Coturnix japonica: one gene and its partners. The protein of the gene in region 2 interacts with the protein of the main gene of each other region in a pairwise test. Links are inferred from orthologs where the notes say so. Each region holds a gene or a part of one and is shown on either strand. Other genes may lie near its edges.

The links.
Region 1: the proteins of SPTAN1 (region 2) and EXOC1 interact in a two-hybrid assay, tested with the Homo sapiens proteins (2 studies listed by BioGRID and IntAct). The link is inferred for Coturnix japonica from reciprocal best matches to the Homo sapiens genes SPTAN1 and EXOC1.
Region 3: the proteins of SPTAN1 (region 2) and DISC1 interact in binary tests that used the Homo sapiens proteins (3 or more experiments, as listed by UniProt). The link is inferred for Coturnix japonica from reciprocal best matches to the Homo sapiens genes SPTAN1 and DISC1.
Region 4: the proteins of SPTAN1 (region 2) and EVL interact in binary tests that used the Homo sapiens proteins (3 or more experiments, as listed by UniProt). The link is inferred for Coturnix japonica from reciprocal best matches to the Homo sapiens genes SPTAN1 and EVL.
Region 5: the proteins of SPTAN1 (region 2) and CEP63 interact in a two-hybrid assay, tested with the Homo sapiens proteins (2 studies listed by BioGRID and IntAct). The link is inferred for Coturnix japonica from reciprocal best matches to the Homo sapiens genes SPTAN1 and CEP63.

What each region holds. Positions count from the first base shown.
Region 1 is NC_029519.1:58,586,564-58,591,686, reverse strand, and holds part of EXOC1 (exocyst complex component 1), read left to right. Parts: intron 1-115; coding exon 116-192; intron 193-679; coding exon 680-908; intron 909-2,075; coding exon 2,076-2,259; intron 2,260-3,876; coding exon 3,877-4,076; intron 4,077-5,022; coding exon 5,023-5,123.
Region 2 is NC_029532.1:3,862,697-3,868,835, reverse strand, and holds the start of SPTAN1 (spectrin alpha chain, non-erythrocytic 1), read right to left. Parts: upstream 3,513-6,139; 5' UTR 3,440-3,512; intron 2,036-3,439; exon of another isoform or gene 1,957-2,035; intron 956-1,956; 5' UTR 938-955; coding exon 905-937; intron 1-904. UniProt on the Homo sapiens protein: Fodrin, which seems to be involved in secretion, interacts with calmodulin in a calcium-dependent manner and is thus candidate for the calcium-dependent movement of the cytoskeleton at the membrane.
Region 3 is NC_029518.1:35,650,738-35,656,828, forward strand, and holds the start of DISC1 (disrupted in schizophrenia 1 protein), read right to left. Parts: upstream 4,869-6,091; 5' UTR 4,792-4,868; coding exon 4,716-4,791; intron 4,685-4,715; exon of another isoform or gene 4,568-4,684; intron 3,902-4,567; exon of another isoform or gene 3,824-3,901; coding exon of another isoform or gene 3,799-3,823; intron 1,110-3,798; exon of another isoform or gene 1,019-1,109; intron 6-1,018; exon of another isoform or gene 1-5. UniProt on the Homo sapiens protein: Involved in the regulation of multiple aspects of embryonic and adult neurogenesis. Required for neural progenitor proliferation in the ventrical/subventrical zone during embryonic brain development and in the adult dentate gyrus of the hippocampus.
Region 4 is NC_029520.1:44,082,162-44,087,551, forward strand, and holds the end of EVL (ena/VASP-like protein), read left to right. Parts: intron 1-2,034; coding exon 2,035-2,101; intron 2,102-2,476; coding exon 2,477-2,534; intron 2,535-3,558; coding exon 3,559-3,596; 3' UTR 3,597-4,186; downstream 4,187-5,390. UniProt on the Homo sapiens protein: Ena/VASP proteins are actin-associated proteins involved in a range of processes dependent on cytoskeleton remodeling and cell polarity such as axon guidance and lamellipodial and filopodial dynamics in migrating cells.
Region 5 is NC_029524.1:2,657,012-2,662,540, reverse strand, and holds the end of CEP63 (centrosomal protein of 63 kDa), read right to left. Parts: intron 5,358-5,529; coding exon 5,292-5,357; intron 4,753-5,291; coding exon 4,547-4,752; intron 3,995-4,546; coding exon 3,709-3,994; intron 1,766-3,708; coding exon 1,607-1,765; 3' UTR 1,255-1,606; downstream 1-1,254. UniProt on the Homo sapiens protein: Required for normal spindle assembly.

The DNA of each region.
Region 1 (5,123 bases), on a different chromosome or scaffold from region 2:
TCATCAGACATGCCTTGTCAGTTGTATGTAGAATTTAAGACAAACTTTCAACTGCGTGTGTGTATATATATTTTTTATTTATACATATATATCTATACACTCCTTGTTCTTACAGAATGAAACAGAGGAAATGGATGGAGGAAATTTATCTCGTTCCTACATTTCTGGTGTTCCACAGCCAGTATCATCTGAGTATGTGCTGATGCTGTTTATTCTTTTTTAAGCCTACGCGTGAATTTCTTTGGATTATAAAATTCTATAACAAATTGCACCCTTTTAGTGAAAATGAATGGTAAACTCTAAATCTGTAAGCAGTCACTTTAATACATCAGCAAATATTAAAAGAAATCTTGTTCATGGAATGAATGTTTCTGTCTTTAGTAGAATAAATAAATACATAACTGCAAATTGAAACTAGACTCCATAATATATGAAATACGCTTAGTAAAATTCTGAATTTAAGTGTGTGGCCGTTTCCATACAGAAAATTTTGTGTTGGAATATTTCATACCCGTGACTGTTGATTTTTACAGTGAGACAGCTTTCAGAAAATCATGAGACATGCTGGTTGCATTTATTGCTACAGGCAATAAATTTATCCAAAAAACATGTATCAAAGAACACTTGAAATAATCCAGTAAACTGTCAGCGTAATATTTTTCTTATGTATTTTTCCTAGGAAGGACATGATCCGACAAATGATGACAAAAATATTTCGTTGTATTGAACCTGAACTGAACAATCTTATAGCACTGGGGGACAAGATTGATAGCTTTAATTCCCTTTATATGTTAGTTAAGATGAGCCATCACGTCTGGACTGCACAAAATGTGGACCCAGCTTCCTTTCTCAGCACAACACTCGGAAATGTTTTGGTGACTGTCAAAAGGAACTTTGATAAATGCATTGTAAGTTCTTTAGTTTTTCTGTTTAAGATAACTCTATTACTTTAGGAAGCCTGCACCTATTCAATTTGATTTTAGGATTTTAAGACTTTTTGTTTTAATTTGAAGCAAAAATGAGTGTCTGCACTACAGTTACATTGGACAAACTTTTTTTATTAAAAAATATTTATTAAAAAATAGTAATTGGCAGTTGTTTCCCTCTTCCCTTTCCATCCCAGTTTACCTGAAGGATGAGCTATCCATAGGACGTACAACCTCTTGTCCTCAACATTTCAGTTATGTGAGCTGGCTGACTTTTGTAATTGTTTTAAACTTTTACTGAAGTCAATCAAGTAAAATCAATAGTGCTCTGACTTTTTTTTTTTTTTTTTTTTTACATTCCAAAACAATCCAAAACAACCTCACAGACTTAAGGGAAAATCAGAATCTTTGTAATATACTGAATAGACATTTATTCCTTGCATTCAGGTATTTTTATCATTAAACAAAACGCAGATTTTTGTGAAACATTAAGACTTCTCTCCTACTACCAACATATTTGCCAGTTTCTGCCACGGAGAAAGTTTGCTATTCTTAATAAGGCAGCCTTAGTACAAATACTTGTTTGTGTGACTGTTGCTTTTGCTATTATTGTTGTAAGTGTCATTTGACTCCAGGCCACTTTGGTAACACTGATCATTCATTGTCAGAGGAATGCTTGAGATACTTGGAAGTTATTATTTTTTAGCTTATTCTTAAAAACAAAATTTCAACAGGAGATTAAAGAAGCTTTCTGTGGCCAAATGAATCATTTGCTGGGTTGATGCTGAAAAGTGAAGTTGTGGAATGGAAGTCTTAAATATAATTTGTTAATTGCTTCTGGTGAATAAGTTGTGGATTCATTGTTTGTGGTATTTTTTTTTCTTAATGCTAAATAAGCAAGCAGAGGAAGATAAAAACTTGAAGATTATAAACTTCAGTCTTGAAGATTTTACTTGCCTTTCTTTCTTCACAGTTTTTACTGTTAACAAATTTGTGAAGATACAATAATTAAAAGATAAAATGATCTCCCTGATTAGACGCATGTTACTTTTTCAGTATGTTTACTTTTTTTCTATTACTAGTTATGGTTATTACTAGTTATGGTCTGGAACTGTATTGTAGAGAATAACTTCTGTGTTTCAATTCAAGAGCAATCAAATGAAGCAGATGGATGAAGTAAAAATCTCAAAGAAAAGTAAAGTCGGGATCCTTCCATTTGTTGCTGAATTTGAAGAGTTTGCAGCCCTTGCTGAATCAATTTTCAAAAATGCAGAACGACGAGGAGATCTGGACAAAGCATATATAAAACTTATTAGAGCTGTTTTTATCAGCGGTAGGTCTTCCCATTTCGTAATACTTATTAATTCCTCCTGTGTAGGTGTATTCTGCTCTGTTTAATTGATAATGTTTTTTTTTTTAAGACTCTATATTGTAAACCACATGACCAACATTGCACTGATGTTAAAAAAAAAACAACCTAATTTATAGAAGCAAGTTGAAACATTTTGATAAAATGAAATATTTAAAAGCAAACTGTAGATATTTCCCTTAACACATATATACAAAGTAACTTTCGGTTATGACAGGGGAAGTGGTTAAGGATACAGGAAGGAGGGGGGAGAGAACTGCAACACTACAGGCCAAAGTCTCAAGTGGTTTTCTGGCTTTTCTGCACCAGTCTGGCTTAAATGAGGAGATGAGACAGGATGGAATCCCTGTCATTTCATTCTAATGCTGTACAGCTTCTCAGTGCTGTGTTGTCTCATTCAGTTCTAATGTAGCCTTGTGTTCTGGCTATGAATTTGACCATATCATAGCAGATGAGGTCCTCCTGACATAGTAGAATGCCTCTCCCATCCCTTCCTGTTTTTCCAGCTCTGATCTGGAAAACCAGAACAGTCTTGTTCTCCTTGTTATTAACAAAAAAGAAATAGATGAAGGTGAAGTAAAAGAAGTGAAATGCCAGAAAAATGGTCATAACCTTTTAAACAACAGAGAGGCCTCTCCATGTTGATTTATGTACATCCTTTGAAACAGCTCGACCTGTAGTACTTCCCAATCACTGAGACTTGCCTTTTTCCCTGAGGGAGGTTGAGGAAGAGGGAAGAGTTCTGGCAATAAAGCTTGTTTGAGGAAACTAGCACAGGAGTTCTGAACATTAGGAGGTTGTGAAGATGCATCATTTCACAATATAGTGGACTACAGTTCATAAAGAGTCAGTAGAAGTTAGTAGGGCAGTGAATTTTAACAACATTGATTGCGTCCAACTATTCAGTACTTTAGAATTGATTGTTCAAGTGATGAAACCAGGCAGACGCTAACAGTCAAACCATACATTGATAGAAGTACTACTGTAGGAAGAATTCAGGAAAGTACGTTTTAAAAGAAATTTAAAAGGATTTCAGTTGAACTTAGAAAAAAAAATAATTGACTAGTACAGCATGAGCTTCAACAAGTAATTATGATGGGGATTGGTGCTTCAGTGATCTAACTGAAATGAATTGATGATATTGACTCGTACCTTGGTGCCCAGGAGTATGCTTCATAAATATTTTTCATGGTGGTTTTCCTACTTCATAGTCTCAATGAAATGATGGATGAGCGGGCATAGAGGTTTAATTGCATTCTTAGATTAATTCTGCATTAATCTGCATTCTAACCATCGTCTCCTTGGCCTGCATGCATGCAGATGCAGTAGGGGGTCAATAAGTAGAATTTCTTACACCTGCTCTGTTTTACTTGGGAGGGTTAAAAGTAAAAGCCTGCATGTATCTGATGCTTCTTTTGAAAGCCCTCGAATATTTATTTAGTGACTGTTATGATTATCGTTCATACACATGGTTATCACTGTGATAGAATCCCTTACTTTTTTCTTTTCATCAGTTATGTTTTCTTCCGAATTTGGTTGCCCTTTAGGAGTTCTAAATATTTTGTTTCCCTTATCTTTTAGTTGAAAAAGTAGCTAATGAAAGCCAGAAAACACCCAGAGATGTGGTGATGATGGAGAATTTCCATCATATTTTTGCAACACTTTCTCGGTTGAAAATTTCTTGTCTTGAAGCTGAGAAAAAAGAAGCCAAACTGAAATACACCGAACATCTTCAGTCTTATGTAGTCTACTCACTTGGACAGCCTCTTGAAAAATTAAATGTAAGTATACTTCATTCTAGCTATATACTACCCTACATAATTTTAAAGTACATATACAACTTTCTCTTATGGTTAGTTCGCACTTCTTGTTACCACTTTTAACTTTCTGTGGGTTGACCTCTTTCTGAACAACAGCCACCCTTGAGGACAAACAGCGTCTCTTCCTCTAGCTGCACTTTTTATTGCTGAGTATTACATTGTATGCTAAAGAGTACACTTAGGAGCTTCTCAGCTGTCCAGCTGTGTCCCCTCCCAGCTTCTTGCCCATCTCCAGACTACTATGGAGGAGGCAAGAGGAGGACAGGACATGTGTGGAAAGTCTTGCTGTGCCAAAATGCTGTGGTGTTATCAGTGCTGTTTGAGCTACAAGTCCAAAGCACAGCACCATGTAGGCTGCTATGAAGAAAATTAATTCTGTCTTGTCCAGAGCCAATGCAATGCTTCAAGTGATGTTACAGTTCTACATGCACATTCATAAGCATATTTCTTTCAGTTTTTATTATGTTGATCTACATGGTGAGGAATCTTGAGAAAATAGGGCAATAATGAACTAAATATAATAAAATAATAATAATAATACTGCTCTTGTATTGTTATGATTTAAGTAGAAAACTTCCAATTCAAATGCTTTGCCAGTTTATCTGAAAGATCCGATGTTAACTCAAGCTATGGTCACATTAACTTAGGAGTCTGAGACTGGTTCAGTATTAGATACAAGTGTATCTGAAAGCTTGACTGCTTCTATTGATGATTAATTTCTTTTTACCTTATTACTTACCGAGTACTGCATTAGTGTGCTGTTCTTTAATGTTTATGGCTGAGCACAACTTCTGTTAAACAGAACAACTGTTGTGTGTTCCCCACATTTTTGTTGAAGGTAGAGTTTGAGAAGCATTTAATTAGTTTGTATTTATGACAATCATTAATAGTATTATTGTTTTGTTAGCATTTTTTTGAAGGCGTTGAAGCTCGCGTGGCCCAAGGTATACGAGAAGAAGAAGTGAGCTATCAACTGGCTTTTAATAAACAAGAGCTTCGCAAAGTTAT
Region 2 (6,139 bases):
AGTTTGCATTGCAGGGACACAGAAAAAAGATCTGCTTTGTGTTTGAACTAAGGCAGGCTGCAAACACACTGATGCAGGCTGATGAGGGCTTGTGCACAGCCAACCACGTTTCAAAACCTGCATGGCAATTAAAGACCTGCTCATTTATAGGCATGTTAACTTTCTCATTCTGCAGCCAAACCGGTGAAGCTGCAGAACAGGGCTGAACTGCTGCTCTGAATTTGGTGCCTTGATGCAGAACTGGGTTGCTCTGCTTTTGGTGTCAGTGCAGCACTGCTCCAACACAGCACAGCACCCCAACCGCACTGCAGAACCGCAGGGCGACAGGTAATGGGATGTTACATAACACCCCCAGCATGCTCCGTTCCTGTCAGTTCTTCATTATAATGCTAATCCCAGCACAGACATTCACCTGACTCATTTCCAGATAGAACCTGGCTGCTGTGTCAGTTTGGCCCCCGTTTTACCATCTCCAAACTGCAAACAGCACAGATGGACAGTGAGAGCGCAATGCGTGGGCTGTACGTCTGTGTGAGTGGATCTAATAGGAACCAGAACTGACTTTAAACGTACAATGTGCTGTGATGTAAATCCATCATCATTGATTTCCAGACAGCTAAAGAGACATCGCACAAGAATCCTCTAAAACAAGGAGCTCTTGGAAAATTAATCCACAGCAACAGCCAATTATACTGAACTACGAGGTGTTCACACATCATGCATCGTAGAAATTAGGAAACTCAAAGTATTAAGGAAAGCCAGATGAGAATGAACAGAGAAGTACAAATAAAGCATTTGCTATGTCATACAAACTCTCAAACCAATGGGGTTTTGTTACAGACAGGTCACTGCAATAAAGGCAGGCAAGTATGGCGACAGCAGCACATGCATTACGTAGCAATACCTGGACTTTGACTTTACGAAACGATGACAACATGATGGAGGAATGCAGAGTCTAAAAGGGAGGGGGAGAGCGAGATAACATTCAGCTCACTATGAGTGCAAGGACATGGCTTTGTTCTTGTCTCCTAAAACACAAACCCCATCACAGCACACACCACACGCATCCCCCTTGGTTCTGTGCCACACACAGCAGTTCAGTGTTCCACAAGGCAGCAGAACCCCCCATGCAAACAGGTTACCATCACCAGCAGGAAGAGTTAATGCGGTCAGTGCTAACCTTTCCGGTTAACTGAGACAAACCAAGCCCTGCCATAATCTGAAGGTCAAAACAGACACTAAAGGAAGTTCTCTGGACTTGGCAAATGACGCTCCTTGTGACACAGTAATCAAATGGGGTGGGCTTAATTTCAAGGCACAAATACAACGAGGTCTCAAATACCTCCAAAGATATTTCATTCCAATTGCCACAGTTGAAAAATGAAAAAAACCAACAGTTGCAGCAGGAGATACTTCTTGAGATGGCTCATTATGTAGTTGTTAAGTATATCTAATCCAATACATTTCCAGCTGAAAGCTGCCCTGCTGCTCCCAGCTCTATTTTCCCTGTGAGTACACACTGCAGTCCCTGGAGCAGCCCACAGACAAGCGCAGTTTGCTGTCTTTGTGCTCGCTGAAGCCACTGCATATCTCCCATGGCATCTGCATAGCTGAGCACGGATCGGTGTCAGCAGGGAAGGCAGCCTGCCACCCGTTTGATCAGCAATATCGCGGGGCTATGCTTGGCAATCCCCACCAGCAGCATCTGCAGTCTGCTCCACCCCATTCTTCTGCTGCCTACACTCCAGGGCCAAATGGAACAAACAGACTCCCACACTACATGAACACGCAGGAGAGAAAAGGGAGGAATTGGTGTCATTTCTTCCAACGCAAGGGGAGCGATCCATTTCACATCAGAAAGCAATGTATTTATGAAGCACACAACTGCGTGCCATAAATACATGATGTGGATAAAAACAAGCCGACAGCGACACTGAGCTATTTGCATTGAGTTACCGGGATGAGCTACGTGTGTAATAGTTGAGAAACAGGGATTTCACAGCGAGGTACCACCCTGCCTTAGGAGATGCACGGCTCCTCCTGCCTTCCTCCTCCTGTGCAGGAGAAAAACATGCAAAGATGGCTTAAAAAGACAGCTTAAAGAGATAGCCCTCACCTTCTGATATCCTTGTTATGATGTTACTTTGATATTACACATACATCTGTCCAACTCCATTCGCCGTGGACCTCAAGGAAGCATCACCCCTAGATGTGATTTTATAGATGCAGTTCCATCCCAGTGCATTCAGATGGAGTTTCTCCCACCCCCAAGCAGTGACAGAAATAAACGACTCAATGCAAACAAGGGAACCTGCTCCTTTGCTGCCAGCACTTGCACTGCTGCACTCAGACCCTGCACGCAATGCAGCACAGCGCGCCCTATTTCCAACCTTTTGTTCATTATTTATAACCAGTTCAGCACAAACAACCACAACCCATCGTTAGGTGCATTTCAAGGCAATGGGAATGAGTCGTACATGGCAATTTAACCATAGCTTTGGAAATAGAAATGTATATTAAAGAATGGAGCCTGTGAGCAAGGCCATCCATGGAACCCAGCCTTTGGAATCTTCTGGCACTTGGCTCCAAGCACAATGCCAGAAGAAAACAGATACGATGTTTTCTTTGCCAGATAGATACAGAAGCATTTCAGGCAGGTTGGGGTTTGTTGTTGTTTTTTCTCTTCCCTGATGCGTTCATTTGCCATCTCCAGACAACTGCAGCTCAGAGCCCACACACACAGTGCAGTGCGGATGGCAGGGCACACACACCGCCATCCATCCATCCATCCATCCATCCATCCATCCATCCATCCATCATCCATCCATCCATCCATCCATCCATCCATCCCCACACCCAGCAGGGAGCTGCAGTGGATCGCACACAGCTCCGTTCAGCCCTTCGTGTACAGATCTCACCTACCGAGGCACCAACCACTGAAACCCTAACAGAGGGGGAAAAAAAGGGAAAAAAAACCAACAACTGTATTTCTGGTTGTTGTTTTTTCCCCTTTTTTTAACACAAAGAGGCTGCCAGACGAGGATCGGGCCCTGTGGTGCCGCAGTGCCCGCACTGAGCTGCCGCCCCTCGCTCCCCTCAGCCGCTGACCTTGGCGGGCGCTGTGGAAGCCATTGCTGCCGGCGGGGCCGCCTGTCACCGCCCGTCCCCTCCCCTCCCCTCCCCGGGGCTCTGAATGGAATTCCAGCCGCCGGCCGAGCCCTCCCGGTCGGATGTCGCTGCTCCCTGCTCCCTTTATCCTTTATCCCCCCTTCTCCCCCCTCAGGGCACGACACGCGCTGAGATCCCTACAGGGACAGCGCTCAGAGGCCTCCCCGCGGCTGAGGGGAGCGCACCCCTGTCCCCACAGCGCTGGAGCGGGCTCTGCTCGCTCCAAGTGAAGCGGAGGAAGCCGCCCGCCCGCCTCAGCCCGCCGCCTCACCGGCTCCTCACGCAGTCCGCCTCCTCCGCGCCCGCCGCCCCTCCGCTACGGACACCGCGCGCCGCCGGCGCCGCCTTTTATACTGCGACAGGAGATGACGTCAGCGCCGCAGAACGGGCTCCCGAGTGACGGAAAGTGCCGAAGGGGTTCGGAAAAAATCGGCGGGGGAAGGGAGGGCCCCACCCACCCGAGAGCAGCAGAAGGGACAGAGAGCGCATGCGGACAGAGCCGAAGTGTTCCGGAAAGTGCCGAGTGGCTCCGGAAAGAGCCGAAGGGCGTGGCGGGATGCCTGAGTGAAAGGGCGGGGTGCGGGCGGGAGGCCGTGGCTCGCTCTGTGGCCCTTCAGTGAACCTTAAAATAATATTAATTAACAAAAGAAAAACCAACCAAACAAAAAACCCAACAAACCCAAACGGGGCAGCAGCGTTAATTATTTACAATACCAACACAGCACGGCGGAGATGGGGGTCTCTGCTGCCTCCTCAGCCCCGCCGGGGCCATCTTCTGCTCCTGAGGCGCAGAGCTGCTGAGGGGCTGAAGATCCACTGCAGATTTCACTGTTAAAATCAATAAAAGTCGAAGCAGCCTCAGCAGTTCTGCGTTATTAAAGGTCTGAACCATGGAGGCTGCCGTTCTGGTGTCAGTAGCTGACAAGGCTCCCCACAGCTCAGGCTCCTCACCTGGCACAAACCATCTATTTTTAAAGGCATAAATCCAAAGGAAAACGAGCCCTTAGGATGAATAAGATGTCTGGAATAGACACATGAGAAAGGCTTGGCCGAGTCTCTCAGGTTTTGATAGGCAGAACGCCATCAGATCAAAGCACTGAGGGGGATTCGGTGATGTGTGAGTTAATAACACTTCTATTTAAGTGCTTAAAGGGAAAAAACACTCTTGCATCAGAAGCCGTAGGACTGCATGGAACCATTGTCTCTAAGGAAGATTAGAGTGACTCACAGCAATCTTAGTGCATCTGGTCCTGAACACACAGCGCCTGCACATGAGATGCTGGCATTTGGGACTCAAATGTGTGTATGAAAACAGCATTTTGGTGTGAGCACAAGACCTTACCTGCACTGGGTCACCAGCCACCAGAGCCACATCCAGCCTGGCCTTGGATGCCTGCAGGGATGGGGCATCCACAGCCTCCTTGGGCAACCTGTTCCAGTGCATCACCACCCTCTGGGGGAAAAACTTCCTCCTAAGATCCAACCTAAACCTGCCCTGTCTCCGTTTCAAACCATTCCCCCTTGTCCTATCACAGAAACCAAAGACTTGAGCATTTTCAAGAGTACCGATTCAGATGCAGCTCTGGTATGTGATACAAGGAAACTGGGGGAGATTTGCATCATACTCAACAGCCACCAGTAACACTAACCAAATTAATTCCAGCATCAGTTTACAAAGACCGAATACAAACAGGGTTTATTACTAATTTTCAAGTCCAAGTTCAGTACTTAAAAAAGGCCCAAGTGCACCATAATTCATTATAACCTTTTATCAAAAAAACTTCAGATCTGTGCATTAAAAACCTCAACCATTTCACATCAACGTACAGCACTCAGCTCCACTCTTTACAGCTTCTAATTCTGAAAGCCTTCATGAATATCAAAAAGCTATCTGATAAAAATAACACTTTTAATTGGCAGTTGTCTTGTGCAAAACCATGCAGCGCCTTCCTGAACTCTGAAGCTGATTTTCTCGTCTTGGAAACCACCAAAATAGTTCAAGAGCAGCAGTGCACACCAAAGACACCTCCTACCACCCTCATCACCCACATCCACCATGAAGGAAGCCATTGGGTTTACTGCCATCTCCCTCCAACACCTATAGAAAAGACATGAGCTGCCTCAGATTAGCACGAAAGAGAAAGTTAATACATATTTTAATAGCAAACAGACATTTAAAAATGAACTATTCTCAGAATAATCCACCGCTGGTATAAAAGTATTACAGTACTTGATAAAAACAGCATAAAGTCGGAATGAATATGCTGACATTAAAAGGCGCTTGTAAGATGTGATACAGAGCACTGCAGGAACTCAATATGCCACCTCCCCCTAAAGTGATGGCAGAACATTGGACAAAGTGCTGCGAGGAATGCATCTTTCCACTGCTTTTTTTAATAAAATAACTATTAATTTCCATTCACTCAGCGGACAACAGGCATTTCTGTAGCTCCAGGAACTCACTGAGTTACATTCACACACAGCTTTTACAACCTCTCTTAAACCAAGAGCACTTGGAGCAACGTTACATTCAACAGAGACAAATGTCAAGGCTGACTGGCCAAATACCTTTCACCAACCATCTCAAGATGTTGTTTGTAAGAAACAGGATGCAAATGCATCACCAGAGCTGAAAACAAATCATAATAGCGAGATGCAATAAATAATAAAACTTAAAGTCTCCCCAGCGTGTTTCCATGATTGATTGCTCTGTTAAGACTCCTTACGGCTTTGAGGTATTTTCATTTTGTGAACAGAACAGCACCAAGCAAATGTTTCAATTCTGAAGTCTATTAGTAATCAGAAATGCTGCATTTAAAGCATCTTCTGCACTTCTAAAAAAGGAAAAATCCTCAGTGGTCCATAATTTACTATACAAAAGCTTATAAAAACACAAAGAACAGCTTCCATCACTTCCAACAAATCAAACGAGACTCTGTTCTGTCCAACATAAACTTCTTATTAAACTGAA
Region 3 (6,091 bases), on a different chromosome or scaffold from region 2:
GCAGCTCTTCTCCCAGCCAAGTCTATACACGACTCAGGCAGACCACAAACATGTGAATACTACAACAGCAGTCTCAGCACAACCGCGTTCAGATTTCCCAGGGAAAGGAAATGCAATACGTGCTGATTATTAACAAGTTTGACATGAAGGAGCAAAGCCACACTGAGGAACAGCTGTGCTGGTACTGCACTCCATGCAACAGCAGCTAGTTTTCTCACAGTTTCAACAAGGGGTTTCTCAGGATTTTCATTGCTCTAAGCAAACAGAAACTCACTGTTCTCCTAAGCAGGGGATCTGGCAGAACAGCAGTGTAAAACAGCACCAAACTGAGCAGCTCCCTGTCCCACTGTCCTATGGTTGGCATACCTATCACTTTTATGAGAGGAACAGGGCTCACGGAGTCACAGCTCAGCTCCGCAGATCACAGCTCAAAGAATCAGTGCAGACACAGAAAGCAATGCACTGCTCTACAAACAGGAAGAGCCAACCCCCAGTTCTGAAGCAGCTGTTCAGCCCACTACTCCACATCCCCTGGGTCCTACATACACTCTGCAACAGGAAGCAGCTCAGCCTAGCGACCAGGCCTTCCCTTCCCAGGCTCTCTGGAGACCTTACAGTCTTCCAAAACTAAAACAAAAGACTCTAAGAATGCTCAAAATGCTTTTCAGACCCAAAGGCATGACTAACAATAAATCCAGAAGTGGGGCCAGCTAAATGAGCTGAGCTAGGGACTACCCTGCTCACCCCATCAATCACTGAGGTCATGAAGCCACTGTCAAACTTCATTATACACAGGCACATTGAAAACATCCCTACCATTTGACTCTACTTCTCCATTAACATTGCTACACAGAATTTAGCAATGTTCTGAAAAGCTACACCAATGCCACACACCTCATCTTGTACTAATACAGAGACCTGCCAAACAACTCAGGATATCTAATTATTCCAATTCCCATTTCCTGTTTTGTCCATGGATACCAACCCTTCCATTCTTACTCAGTTTTACAATACTCACCATCAACCTCTTGACTCCTCACTCCGCAGGTTGCCTTAGAGTTGCTCCACTAAGAGATTTTCCTCCATAATGGTTTCCTGCCCTGATGACCCTAACAAAGAAACCTCTCAGCCAGAGCCCGCTAAATCCCATTCCTCTGCCATTGCACATAGCAGGGAAAGGTGGAAGAGAATTTCACATACATGACATTTATTCTATTCTTAGGTTGAAGCAGCCACTTCTCCCATGTAGTTCTTTTACAAGATTTTATCATCTTCGCATATACACACGCCTTGTTTAGCAAGTTGCTGTTTCATCTGCACAAGTTTTGACTTGTGTACTGTTTGATACCATCTATAAATGCAGGTAACATATCTTTGAAATGAAGGGAGATAAGTAATTTCAAGAAAACACATTTTCCATCCCTAATCCTGATCACATAACTGCTTATGTAGTAAATATTTGCTTTTTTAATGTAAAATCCAAATGTTTTTGTAGTTGGTGCTGCTACAAATAAACACAGAGAGAAGGCAAAAAAAGAGCCAAGTAACCAAATAAACTACTTTGACATCACAGGTAAATAAATTTATATGTAAGACAGCAAGAAAGGTAGGAAAGGGAGGGGGGAGTGGGAAAGAATAGAAAGTGCCACCAATTAGATTCATTAGACAACAGGATTCCTATTAGTAATATATCATACTGAGATAAGAGATGAATGTGTTGGGAGGAAGCGGAGCTGTTGGGTGAAAAAGGATCTGAGATAAAGACTGCAGTATCGTACAGCACGCAGATGTGGCACACCACACAAAGGGGAGACAGGATCCAAATTCTGTGTGCCCCAAAGGAATCATGCTGAACAAAGGAACTGTACTTCAGGCAAAGCACATGATCTCACCGCTCTGTCTGTAGACTTCAGATTAGTCATTAAGCCACCCTACATTTGCAGCATCAATAAACAGGGAAATAACTCCACACTGGTAGCTGCTTCAGTTTTCATATGGCACACTCACATTGAGCAAACGAAGAATGTCAGCAGTTAATTTCAGCTCCTGTTACATAGCATCCGAGACTGGGAGACTTGGTAAAGAAACATCTCTCCCTGACAGCACTTTTCAGGTGAGCAATTAACACAACCTGTGCCTATATGACAAAACAGAGCACAAAGCACACTGTTAAATGTTACACTGAATTAAGTAAGCACCTCCAAACAAGGATACTACAGAACTTCACACAGGCACAGCAGCCTTTGTTCAGTACCAGAGAGCCAAGTTTTTCCTGTGTGACTGCTGATTTACAAAGGACACATTCATCCCTCACACATAAGGGTTTTGCAGCAGTTTGCCTTCGAGAACACTGAGTAGTATTACAGCATACCCCAGGCTCAATCCTAATCCAGGTGACACAGCAAGAAAGGGCTGCTCTCTGCAAAGAGCTAAGGATGAACTCGGAAATCTCTATGGCAACACCACAGGTTCCTCCCTGTTTACCTTTGGGCCTGGTACTCCAAAGGAAGCAAGGAAAGCTGTTGTCACAGGAGGTGTTAATATGTACAACATCCAAAAGCAGGAAAGGCTGCAGACTGCCCGCCACTCAATTGGGATGAACATTTGCTCAAGAAAACCAAATGCCAAAATGAAAAGAAAAATCCTAACTCCTGATGAGCACTCAGGGTGCACCACACACTCCAGTAGATCCCAACTGGGAGGTCAGGTGGTTCGAGAGCTGCAGGAGGCCTGAGCTACGGTGAGCAAAAAGAAAAACCTACCCGAGTGTGCCTAATTTGTGAACAAAGTCAGAATTAACCTTCAGGGTGCTCTGCTTTTGTGAGTACAAAACATTGTTTGCGGTGCTTTTCCGTCCTTCTGTTCATTACAATTAATTCATACTGGTGTTAATAAATCCTCTTTTCTTGCACGACTCCACTACAATTCCAGAGGCAGCGTCTTAGGCCCAAACTTTCTGACTTCATTTTGCTGAAGGGAACAAAGGTTGATTTATGTGAAGTTAAAGAGGGAAGAAGCCAGTGGCAATACAGTGCTTGTCTATGACCACACTTCAGAGTGTTGTGCTGCTGTGTAACTCAGTAGTACAGTGTATGCCAGTAGGTTATTTTCACTGGCCAATCTAAAGGAACTACACAAAAAATGAGTAAGTTTAACAGCAACACAAAGCAAGAAAAAACACACAGAGATGGACACCGACAATATCAAATGCACAGAACATCTGTGGGTTCCTTTACATCCACCAGTCCCACTTTTTAGAGGATCACAGACCTCTAAGCTCAGCTAGTTGTCTCTTTAAATCACATATTTAAACACCTTTCTTCTTAGTTTCAAAACTGCCTAAAAATCCTATTGATAGGAAATGATGACTGGAACTCGGGCTGTAACACCACCATCAGTCTCTTCCCAAAAGAAACCACAGCTTTGATTTCAGCAATAATATGGGGGAACACTGATATGAAATAACTACCTAGACTTGGAAATTACACAACACAAAAGTGAATAAAGAGGAACTTTTCTTCCATTTTCACAAGTTACTGAAAGGCCAATTGCAAATTAGCAAGTAAACGGACAAATATGAAGAGACAAGAACAGAGATAATGCATCTCAAGGTAGTTTATGCATCTCTTTCAAAACTCTATTTTCAATTGCCAGCAGTGCTTGCCAGTATATGCTCACTTATATGCATAGAAAAGCTTTTATTATAAAGGCACTTCACTAAAGAGCTCTTAAAGCACTGTTCAGAAGCACAGCAAAAAGTTACTCAAACACATGTACACACAGATTAGCACGGATTACCCAACATCAATGAGCTGCTCTCCATTGAGATGTTGGCAAGGACAACTCAAGTGTTTGCAGGAAGTTTTGCTTTGCAGTACTGTGTATCCAAAAAAGCCAGAAAGTCAGCTGATGTGCCTGATGCATTCTACGCCTTCCCTTCTGAATCCCTTTGAGAAGATCGAGCTATTTTCTGGTGTTACCCACAGCTCCAGCCCCTCACCGGTACTACTATCAGAAATGACTCCTGCTCAGGCTGACAGCTGAGCAATAGAGGGGAGAGCAGCTCACCTGCTCTGCCAGCCACACCATTCAGTGCTCATTTATGCAAGGACTGACACACAAACGTGGCTTTTTCCCCACGAATATGGCAGCTTCCTTTTTAAACCAAGTTCGGAGATACCAGACTGCTGACTTCTAAGAGCATGTCTACTTCCCTCACAGCAGTTGGTTATGTAGATGTATATACATATACACACTCACTTATATATGTTTGTGTATATACATACAAACCTACAAATCACACACATTTATGTAGTAATATAATTGCTTCCACACTAACAGAGGTGGAATTTTGGGGTTAAAACAAGGAGGAAGGAAAAAAAAAAAGTGTTATTTCAGAGTTATAACAAAGTTTCCTAGGCAACACCGTGCTAACCCTCGCCAAGACAAAAACTCCGGGGAGTGAAAACTAAGCAAGCAAAGCGGGTTTGAAACTAAGAAGCAAGCAACGAGTCTTTGTATCTAACCCCTCCGCCCGCACCGAGCGTCCCAAAGCCGCCCTACCCACCCGAAGCTCGGATCCCACTCGGAGCCCCTCCTGCCTCGGGGAGAGCCGCTGCGGGACGGACCGGGCACCGTTACAGCCCCGCTGCGCTCCCGGCCCCCGGCCCCCCTCCCAGGCGCTGGGCCGCCCCTCAGCCCCCGGCCCCGCTCACCTGGGCCGGTCTCCTCCCTCCCGCTGCCGCGGCGCCGCCTGTCGGTGCCGTCCGAACGGGGCTGCGGCCGCCACATCCCGCCCCCCGGCGGGACGAAGCGGCTCCCCCCGGTCGCGTCGAGCGGGGCGGAAAGCGACGGCCCCGGCCACTCCCCCGGCGGCTCGGAGCCACGGGGCGCGGCCCGCACGACGGCACCCGCCGCCCCTCCTCCGGGCCGGCCTCCTGCGAGCCGGGGGCAGCCTCAAGCCTGCAGCGTACGGGCTTTGGACTAGCAGGGGGAGATGGAGGTTGGGACCCGAAGCCCCGACTGCAGATCGTTTCTGAATTCAGCACGGCACGCACACAACGAGGAAACACGCTGCTCATTGTCTATATGTAGTTTCAACTTGGCACCAGTGTCTGCACTGTGTGTGCTTCCATTACTTCTCATAGAGTCACAGAGCAGCTTGGGTTGGAAGGAACCTTAAAGCCCATCCAGCCCCAACCTCTTGCCCCACATCAACTCATGCTGCCCAGGGTCCCATCCAACCTGGCCTCAGGTACCTCCAGGCAGACAGCTGTGCCAGGGCCTCACTGCTCTCCCAGCGAAAAAAATTCCCCTGATATCTGATCTAAATCTTTTAATTAAAATCATTCCCCCTTGTCCTATCGCTATTACTTTTGCAAGTCTGTGATCCATTGAAGTCAAACCACAACTTCACTAAGATCCTCCAGTCCAACCATCAGCCCACCCCCACCATGCCCACTAGATGACATCCCTTGGTGCCACGTTTCTTGAACACCTTCAAGGATGGTGACTCCACCACCTCCCTGGCAGCCTGTGCCAGTGCCTCGCTACTCCTTGGGAGAAGACATTTTCCCTGTTATCCAACCTGAATCACTCCTTGGCTATCACCATATTCACTATATCAACCATTTTTCAGTATTAATTTCATGTTAAGCATTTTTCAAGGTGCCCTCCATCCTAGACTTCAAAGGTGCCTTCTCAGTTATGCATAGTGCTACCATACATTAAAACATCACCTTGTGTGCTGAGAAGTTTCTATGACATTCAGAGACACTGCTACAGAAAAGCCTCGCTTTAGTTGACAGCTAAGAGCTTACTGATATTCTTGTGTTTCAGTCCATTTATTAAGAAATACAGGACGTGTTAAGAGAGATGTAACCTCATACTCCAGGCTCTGCCCTTCCTGACTTATGAGACAATATAATAGACAGCTGTGCCTCACAAGCCAAAAATAGACACACATCCTCCTTTCATCAAATGTGCAGTGCTGCTGCTGATTCAGATGATGTCAGCTTATATCAGTACTAGCTCCCATCACTCAGAGATCAATTTGTCATAAAAGAACAGCTGCACGTGTGCAAACAAAGGG
Region 4 (5,390 bases), on a different chromosome or scaffold from region 2:
ATGGTGTGATGGTAGCATGTGTTGTGTCAAAGACTTGTTCCATGGAAACAGCCCCTGTCAGGTGGGCACAGGAATTAATCACACTTCAGGAAGCGCTTAAAGTATTTGTGGGCTTGTCAGTGTGCTGTGCCAAAGCGGGTGGGAGGTTTTGGAGCGCTGCTTTACAGCTGGTTCAGGATGTCTCTGCCAATAGGGGAAGGTTTAACTGTCCAACTTCAGCAGAAATCCAAAATCAAAGACAGAAATGATCTGAAGAACCTCCAACTTGGAAAAGTTATTCCTCTGCAACTGCAGTGGGTGCATGAGAAAGGAGTGCAAAGCTTGATACAATAACTTCATATCATTGGGCCATGGAAAGCCCCAGGCACCAGACAGGGCATTCAGAAATACGTGGAGAAAGCCAAGAACCCTGAAGCAGGAATCCAGCAGCCCCATAAGTGAAAACAGCCATATGGTGTATGATGACCCAAGTTGTTACCCATGGAGATGGAGACTGAGGTTTGGTATTGGGCAGTGAAAGAGAGAATCGTCTTCCAGCTGGCCAGCCTACCTCATGTTCCTGCAGTACCAAGCACTGAGATGGCTGGATAAATCAAATGACTTGCATATAGTTATCTTTTACTGGAAAGCAATGCCCCTTGTTTTGCACTGTTACTTGTACCACAGTGCTGAAAGTCTGCAGGAAGAAAATTGTCAATGGCAACTGTCTGCACTTACTTATCCCTGTGCTACAGATGCCAGAATGTGCCCTGTCCAAAAATTAAAGGGTGCTTCAGTCTTCCTAGGGTGAAATGCAGTCTCCTGCTTTCCTAAAATCAGTGGGACACTGCTGTGTGAGTTTCCATTGGATATAGGAAAGACCATTTCTTCTCCTTGCAGAAGGGAACGGAAACATGGGCTATTTAAAGCAGCCATCAAGTTTGTGCCAACTCTCTTCTACAAAGTCATTCTACCTCAGAAGGAGTTGAGTGGGGGAAAATCCATTGGCAGCTTAATGCCTGAGTAATGCTCAGTGTTTGCTGCTTGTCTAACTTCTGCAGGGGGAGTGGGGCACTGTGCAGAAGCTCCCAGCAATGCCCAGTTTCCTTCCCAATCAGTTTGATGGCGTTTGTATCTGTCCTCAATCTCAACTTCATTTTGAAATTGTAGCAAAATGTGAAGGTTTTCCCGAGAAAGAGATGGGAGACCAAACACACACACAGAGGCAATGGGATCTCAGCCAGCCCTCAGCTTAGGCCCAGAAATGATGGCAAAGTTATTTGAAACTTCTTCTATGAATTATTTAGCATGATTCATTTCTGATGTTTTAGAATGGTTGTGACAGCAAGTCAGACAGCTTCTGCTTTTTTATGTTTACTTCATTGCCATCGGCAGAGTTCAGCTTGTGAACTAATACAATCCAGGCAGGCTGATAACACCCAAATGTATCAGGCCTTAAGGGCAGGTTTTGTTTGCTTCTGGGTCAAGATGAAGTGCCTTTGCTGTGCAGTGTTATCACAAAGCTCTGCTTGTGTCACACCTTTCCAAGGAAAGGATTATTGGGTTATTATTTGGTTTGCCTTGTGCTAACTTGTGTTTTACTATTATTTTAGCAGCCTGTTAAGTATTATTAAAGCCTAGATAGCCAAGACAGGGTGGTTGTACAAAAAATGGATTCAGGAAGATAGAAAACCAGACATCTATCTTGCAAATTGCCACTACTGTAATGAAGTATATTAGGTCACCCCAGTATGCGGTAGTTTAAAGCCATCGAGGACTACAACCCCAAAAAAAGCCTGAATTAGGTTTCAGAACAGTTTTACCCATGTTCTCTGCTCTGCTGAAGCCTGAGAGCATCCTCTCCTTGGGGGTGAGGCTGGGCAGGAGCAGCCTCCTTGAGGATGCAGCCCAGCAGCACATGGAAAGTCCAGCTCTCCCATACGAGTGCTGCTGGTCTGGCACTGGCTGCACCCGTGCCTTTGTGGGGGGATGGCTCAGCACGCATAGCAGGCATCTGATGGGCCGGTATTTTGTTCTCTTCTTCCCTTTATCAAGGATGAAGCCAGTGAGCAGCAGCAATGATGTGGCTATGGATGCCTTAGATTTTGATCGGATGAAACAGGTGAGTTGAAAGGTCTTTTCACACTTGGAGTTGACGAGCTACCCATTTTCCCCCATGCATGCGCTGTACAAGCAAAACAGCTGTTCAGTCTTCTGGTTTCCTCTACAGCTAGGTGCTTAGAGAAGGGATAGCTGGTGAGCAGCAAGAGAGCACGATCTCACTGCTAGTTGAGCAAGATGTCTGTACGAAACGTGCAAATAAATGCCCCAACCTCTGCTGCACCCTTGGCCTGAGAGTGCAGCCATAGCTGCAAGCAGCAATAGGCTCTGAGTAGCCGTGAAGGTGGGGAACCCACCACAGCCATGTTAAACTTGAGTTTTCTTCCACCAGTCAGAAGGAAATGCTGAGCAGCTGACTTGTGTTTTGTCTCATCAGGAAATATTGGAGGAAGTTGTAAGAGAGTTACACAAAGTGAAAGAGGAGATAATTGATGGTAAGAAAGAGGAAAATCATTATTTTTCTCACTTCTATGACTAATTTCCTGTAGATAAGACAATAGGCACTACAGGGAGTTCCCTGGTGTTTTCAGACTTGTCTGGGTCTGAAGAAAAACGTTCTGCCTTAACTGAGCTTTGGTCATAACACTATATTCACATCCTTTATTTTTATGCTGTTGACACACGTTTTCACCCCAACCTGTGAAAGATTCACTGGCCTGTGCCACTCACAGGGGGAGGTGGGAGAAAGGGCCGGCCCATAGCCCATGGCACATCAGTTTATCACAACCAAGGAGTGTGAAATTGCTTACAACTGGTCTGGCACAGGAGGGGACAAGTGTACCAAACTGGAAACCCTTCCTGAGCCTCCTCTGGAGGATGCTTGTGCTCAAAAAACTATTTCAAGTTAACTCAATCTGAATAGCCTCGTATTTTTCTAACTCGGTGAAATGAAAGATTTCAGCAGGTTTTTTTTTTATAAATTGCTTTGTATTTTCTGACAAAATATGTTTTTCAAGGCCAACATAAGACAGCATAATGCTGCTATTACTGACATGTGCAGCAAAGTACCTATTTATTTGACACCTGCCTTAGGGTGTGCAAAGATCCACGTCCACACCCTGCATTTCCCAACTTAGCTTCATACGAAAGGGGAAAAAGAGGAGACTGTCAAACAGCTAAAAGCCATGCCCGCTGCCCTTCCCCCAGCACCACGTGCTCATAACAGCTGGGCAATTGGCAGCTGAGGACACCCTTGCCCGTTCGCTATGTTCCCAGCAGCTTGGCCCTCAGAGACTCCCCAGTTCATTCCAGTGCAAAATAAGACATTCACATGAATCGCAGATGCCACTTAAACCACTACTGCAGTTTGCAAGCAAACAGCTGACTGCTCACCCTTACTCATCCCTTTACCCTCCACTCATCCCTTTACCGGCGTGTACTTCCTGCAAGCTCTGTACTTAGCGTTTTCTATGTGCGGGGTAGAATGTTCTGCGCTAACTTTTTGGTTTGGTTTTCTAGCCATACGGCAGGAGTTGAGTAGGATCAGTACAACATGATTGCAAAGCATTTGGACGGTACTTAAGAATGCTAGGAAGATTGAATCATTTCCGAGTGTACCCAAGGTCACGCAAGATGGTGAGAGAGGACACCGGCACTGTCTTTGTTCTTATACCCTTTTTATTAGCAGACTCAGCACACTTTGAAGCTTGCTGCTGCCTTGGATTTGCTTCATTTTAAAAGTCTTAATCTAAAGAATATTAAATTTTAAATTTCTGGATTTTTTAGATTTCATCTGACACTGCACATTGGATTTGTCAGCCTTTTTTGTATTTTGTATTTGCTTATTTAAATGTATTATCTTTCTTTTTAGTAGTAGATAAGAACACACGTGAACCATTTGCTTTTGATAGATGACTTCAAAGTAATTTTATTAGTAGTCTGCAATGTAAATGAAGATCCTTTGCCAACAGAAACGTATTGTGGCATCACCAGAAGGAAAGAGACATGTTAGTTGTCAGCCAACAAGTTCTTTGTCTCAGAGTTATCACAATATTAAAAAAAAAAAAAAAAAAGAAAAAGAAAAATGGTACGTCTGCATCACAGTATCTGTGTTCATATTGGTAATAAACTGTTTATTGTCCACATGGCCCTGCCTTTGTTTATATGGTCGGCCCCTTCAGCTTCTCCACCTTAATGTCACCTGGGTATGGTTCCTCACTGGCTTGGGGAGGGCACTGATGAAGTCTCACCTGGAGAGTGCTGAGCTGAGGGGAGAATGGTGGCTTATGGTGGCCTCGGGCCACCACTAACTGTCCTGTCTGTCTCCTCAGTACAAACAAAATCCACCCATCCCACCACTTGTGCCTTATGGGCTTTTGGGAGGAGAGCGAGTCACTCAGAACAAAGCTGCTGAATGGCCACAGCAAAGCAGAAATCCCACGTGCAGTGCTGCTGAACCAGAGGCTTGAACTAGAGCCTTATGGGAGTCACTTGTTAATATTTCATGTTTCCATCTGTTAACTCTGTGCAGGCTTTGGTGAGCTTTATTGTGTGGAAACTGAGGTCTCAGAAATGAGTACAGGATGCTGCATCAGCGCCGCTGAGCACTTCATCACACACTCCCTCTTACCTGTTGGGTCACATGTTCTTTTCTTTGCTACCATTCTTTCCACCAGTTCAATCTTGAGAATTTCTGCTCGACTTGGTTTGGTGGGATTTACAAGGCAGCAGCCATCATACAATCTCCTTGGCAGCTTTATGGAAAAGGCACAAAGTGATGGGAGTTCAGCTGTGGAAATCAGCGTTTCCAGAGCCCTCCTTCTTGCTTTGGGCCTTCCTGATGGCATCATGTTGTAAACCAGGTCCTGGGGGGCTGTTGCAGAGCCCTGTGGACCATGGTCATTCTCTCAGCGCTCAGGCAGGGACCTGGAGACTGCTGTGGGGCCCTGCTGGAGCAGGGCTTGGGCCAGGGCTCCATTCTTGCCCAATTCCATGATCCTGCATGACTGCCTTCAAGCAGCAGGATGCCCAGGAGGGCAGGGGTGTGGCGGGCTTGCTGGTTACTTATAAACTTTTATCTACTTTGGCTGGGAGAGTCTGAGGTTGTCCTTCAGCAATCTTCAAAGCCACCCCATCTGTCCTCTAGAAAACAGTCCCCCCTACCTCTCCCCACCCCCCCAGTTACACTGTAAACTAAATACTAGATAAAAGAGGGAAATTTAAACTTAATTGAAGGGCAATCTCCAGTCCAAGCCTGACATCTGCTAGCTGTTTAGTGCTGGCTTCCCACCTGGCTAGAGAAAGATGGCAGGATAAGATGTTTATTTGGGAACTAAAGCAGAAAGGCATGG
Region 5 (5,529 bases), on a different chromosome or scaffold from region 2:
GCTCTGCCTCCTCCCCTTCGTCAAAGAAATGCACATACCCCATCAGAGATGAGGAGAGCATGTCTGGCAGTACAGATAACCCACAGCCAACACACATGGAAGCATGGGAGCTGGGACAGGCCCTAAGCCAGCAGCTCCCCTGCAGCCAACTGTCATCTTTAGACCAACCTACAGCTCACCCCGGCTTTTGTCCAAACTCCCCATGACCAACAAGTCCTTACCTGAGATGTGAATGTTCCAGGAACGCCAACCTGTGGGCAGCTCAGAGCACAAACCCAGACCAAAGCTGTTTGTAAAACACACGACCATGTGGGCAGGTGAATGACTCATAGCATAAATGGCACAGAGAGAACCCAGGATGGAGCTGAAGATTTCATCTTTGTTCAAAGAACTGCAAAAGAAAGGCAGAATAAAAGGACATGTTGATTCAGAAGTCCTCCACCTTTCCAACCGTGGAATGCAGAACTGCCCAGCAAGGCACTGGCCCAATTCTGGCATAGCAGGAAGGCTGCAGCCTGCCCACAGGCATCACCTTGCTGAAAACATCTGCCAAACCCAATGGAAAGGAACTGGAAAGTGAGGGCAAGGGATGCTTCTGTGCCTAGGTTTGTCCGTGCAGAGGTTGTGAAGGCTCAGCTATGGGAGGAGGTTCAGGAAGAAAGGCAACTCCACAGCAAACAAGCTCTCTCACTCATTTTGTTGAGCAAGGAGTAAAGGAACAGATCTCAGATGTATTCCAGTGCTGCAATTCAACCTGACTGGACAGTATCCAAGGCACGGCCTGGATTGAAACAGGCTGATAGCAGCCCATGGCAGCTGCAATTACCTCTGCTGGACAGATGGATCTTGCTTGTGCATTCCCCCCCACATCCAATTTCATTGTCACTTCCACCTACTGTTCTTTCTTTTGTAGGAGCTGTGGCCACAATCAGAATACAGCTATTCACTTTTCAGTTACCTCGCAGTCCTTGAAGCAGCACACAAGCAAGATAAAGAAGCCAGATATTACACAGATATTATCAGCAAAGAGCAGAAGATGAACCAGGAAATAAGAAGAAATTTCAACAAGAGAAAAATAACTGGGAAAAATGCGGGTGGCCCAAAGGAAGAGGAATCCTATTTCTTGCCTCTTGAAGAACGTGACTAGAGGGAAAGGATGGAAACATTGTCTGAATTGTTCATCAAAGATCCCAACAAGAATGCAAGATGAGCCAAAACCTCTACTATGTAAATCTGCAGGAAGAAGAAAAGGCACATTTTTCCACTTTGCTTTATTTTACACATATAAAATACACTTAAAATACTTCACATTGATTTTAGCAAATGCTTCTCTTCTAAAAACACCACAAAGTCTTTGCAGGTGGGCACACAGACCCGTCTCTCTCCCACAGCCTTCTAGCCCTTGGAAGCTGCCCAACATGTGGTGGGGGCACAGTTCCAGTCTGAGCTGATGCAGGGCATTCCTGCACATGTTCTTCCCAGCATCCAGCCTGCTGACTCAGCTCCTCAAGCTCCAACAGCAATTGCTTTGCAGGTACCTCCCTCTGCTGCAGTTTGAAACCATGCAAGGAAAGCAGTGCTCCACCTGAGTGCACTTGAGGAAACGTCACGCCTGGTGTCCAAAGTGTCTGACTATCTTTTCACTCTCTTTTTTCAGTTCCTCTATGTGAGCATCCAGGCACTCCAAGATGTGCTGGGATCTCAGTTCTTCCTCTTCCAGGTATCGGGCAGCTACTGAGCCAACTGAAGATGTAGGCAGGGGGCACTGAAGAGAGAAAGGGGCAGTGGGTATCTTGTTATTTCAGCTTTCAATCAGAAACACTGCCAACCAGTGAGACACCTAACTAAATAGCCCTCTAATTAAACAGCCCCCCCCGCATTTCTGCAACCCTGGCCCCAGGAGCATCATTCGGAATTGGCTGCTTACCTTCAGAAACTGGACTTTCACTTCTCTTACCAACCCCTCCACTGAAGATAACGAGAGGGTTTATGCTGTCACAGTACGATTCCAGAGCAGGGCACTGCAATCCCCCAATTGCTCTGCCAGTACCAGCCCTGACTCACTGCAGTCTGCATTTTGCTCCTTGTCTTCATAAAAATCCCCATGTGCATTACCATCTCACAACAGGGTTTCCAGAGAAGAGAACCGGGCTGCCAAACTGGGTGAGCACCAGGAGTCCCTCTATGCTTCCTTTTGTTCTGTATTAATGGCTTTCTGCTGCAGTCCCAAAGGGAAGCACAGCCAAACTCCCATGGCAGCTCACCGAACTGCCACGTCCATTCAGCCAGCAATGAACTATTCCAGATTCTTTCCTTCACAGTCAATGATTGTTCCTGCTAGTCATATCACTTACCCGCGAGTTCTGAACTTACACAGCAATAACACTGTAAGCTAAGCTTAAATGAAGGGTTGAAGAGAAACTTCCTGCACTGGGTCAGGAAGGTGAATTACAACAGGGCTGCTTCCCATTACAGAAAACTTGCCTCGGTGCCCTGGCAAGACAGTGTAACTGGTTATTCCCCAGCCCTGGAGACTCATGGCTTTCTGGCCTTTCTCCCTCTCAGACCACACTAAGCAAAAGACAGCGCATTCCCTTCTACTAAGTATCAACCCCTAGTGCTCCTCAATGTCTGACGTGGAACTGTTTGCATTTTAGCCCTTATCCTGCAATCTAAAGAGCTTCCATTCAGAATTTACAATTCCCTCAGCTCCTAACATTCATTTTCTGGGCATGCCCACAAAGCAATTTCAGCCTTGAAACAATTAAGACCTATTTTTGGTCTCAAAAAGACCTACAGACTTGACAAACCTCCTCTTACCCATACCTGGGCCCCACAAACTCTACTCTGAGTTCCCCATAAATTACAAATTGCTGTTGTCACGACTTACAGTACACAACCAGGGGGGAAGAAATCTCTACAGACTGCCAGTGACCACACATCTGGAGCAAGGAGCAGTACTCAGGCTTCAAGGCCTTCCCATACTACAGCCCCGCTTTGACATAGTCCAGCATACAATCAGTCTTGATGTCCCACTGCTACCTTCCACCTCTTCCCTGTTCAGTCAGTCTGCAGGCCAGTAATCACAGCAGGCATTGAGATATACGGTCTTAAATACCTCAGGCAAGAAGTGATTGAGCTCAGATTTCCTTTATGGTGGGAAAATGCTTCAGCAGCTGGGCTACATTAAGAGGATGGAGAAGGTGCAAACATTGCTTCCTATGAGAAAGATCACTGACTGGGAATATAACAACCTCTGCTTGTGTAATGAAGCGCTTCTTCCAGGCTCTCTTATCAGCTAACATAAATGGTGCAAAGCGCAACATGCTGACTACTGCAGTCCCGTTCAGAGGGGCCAAATTCACTGTAACGTGGTCCCAAACCAAAAGCTCAAGCAGAACTCTGAAGCAGCAGAGCAGGCTGTGGTGCACACTGATGTACAGCACTGGTACAGGGAGAACCACGAGCTTCTGGAACTTGCTCAGTAACAAACAGAACCTCACCCTAGAGAGCTCTGCTCAATAATTACATGACTCCCCCTTGTCCAAGTCATAACCATCCAGCACTGTTTTCACTGTTTTAGGCTTGACATATGCACACACCACACAGGCAGATCACAGATTCAAAGATCTGCTTCCTTTTGCCATATGAGAACTCAGTTGCATTACCAGTAGCTGAATGGTAAAACGCTTCTATAGAACCACTTACCAAAGGTACAGATTCTTGTTCATGATCCGACTGTTTGGATGCTCCATCTGGAAAATCTTTGCCATCATCCAGCACAAGGATGTCACCTGCAGCAAGGGTGGGTGACTCTGCACAGTTCCTCCTGTTGGTCTGTGTGGGTAGCTCAGCAGCCCCAGGGATAACAGCTCCCACTTCAGCAGGCAAAGGCTGGTTCCTCCGTCTCTGATGATGCTGAGTAGTCTTGTCAGGCTTGTGATGCATTTTCTCAGTCTGCTCATCCTGTTTATGCTGTGATTCTTGAGTTGTCCTGCAAGACAGGTGTGGAAACTTACCTGTCTGACAGTTTGCCTCTTAACAGCTGAATTTCAGCAAGAACGTGTGCAGAAATAACACTTAGCAGGCAGTTTACTGATAGGCAGTTTGGACTGTCAGGGCTCTCTCTCATTTCCACAGAACCCCCTGATGCACATCCAGTCATCAGGGAATTCCCTCACTCTCCTGCTACTGTAGATACCAAAAGCTACCATATGAACACATGCTAGAATGGAGAAGAGCTCGGCCAACTGTGCCAAGCCTAATCCTTGAACTGAAAGCAGCACATACTGCTTCTCTATCTAGAACAGAGGCGGTCAAATAATAGCTGGCTTTGCAGAATGCAAATCAGCTGGGACTAAAAACTACCGCCCTACTTCAAGCATAAAGGCAGATTCCTAAACAGTCCTTTTTGTTCTCACCTATATATCACATGCTGGAGAAAGATGCTGTTCATAAAGCACGTCATTAAAATCCCACACATCTTCATTCCTTCTGTTCTCCTTCATGGTAAGGAAACAGCATCCTTGGGTTATGCAACACTCACCTGTACTGCACATCCCTGGGCTCAGGCTCTTGGCTTTGCAGCTGCTGAGCGGTGCCCTCAGGTTGACTCTGGCAGACCTGGGTCGTGAGCTTCAGTTTCTCCCTGGCCTCTGATAGATCCTTCTTCAGCTGCTGGTTCTCTGATTTTAATTTGTTTAATTCCACAACATAATCTTCACTGAGTGCTCTCAGGGTGGCATCTTTTCCCTAACACAGAAGGGCTGATATTGAACACAGGTTTTGCAAGATACCATTAGACAAATCCAGAGCAAAGTCTGGCAAGTAATCCCTTAAAACATATTCTACAATCCCACTTTTGACTGGCAAAATTTTCACAGCTTTCATGAGAGCAAATCAATTACAAATGCCTCATTGTGTCTGCACTGAGACAACATGTTCATCTGCCTAGGAAAGGGAATCACTAGCGTCGCTGGCTGATGCTTTTAAAAACAGCCATGCAAATATGGACCAAGAGTTGCTCAGATGTAGCTCTAGGCTGGTAGTACTTCCTAAGCTGGGAACACTTGGGTGACACCCCAACAAACTGCCTCAGCCTGAGCAGCAACCCAGACAGCACAACAGCAAGCTGTACTGGGTACTTCTTAGGGGTGTGGGGGAACACATACCCCAGTGGTTTAGCTGCTGCTGAGAAGTAACCACTCTCACTGTCAACAGCTTGCTCCTCCCCATCTTCTCCCTCCCTAGACCCACCCCCCCACGTGGACCTCCAGCACACCCAGCTCCACCTTTTCCAGCATCTCTGAGAGGTGACGGTTCTCCAACTTCAAGGTCTCCAGCTGAACGAGAATCACCTGAAGAAACCCAGAGGCAAACAACAGCTCAGAAAAAGAACACCATGTGCACATGCCATTTCCCAGCCTCAATTCAAGTAAAAAAAGCACGCTTTCAACCATTATTCCTGCACCAGCACAGGGAACACCATGCAAGTAACTGCGCGCACTCATTCATTTAGCTTCCAAAGAC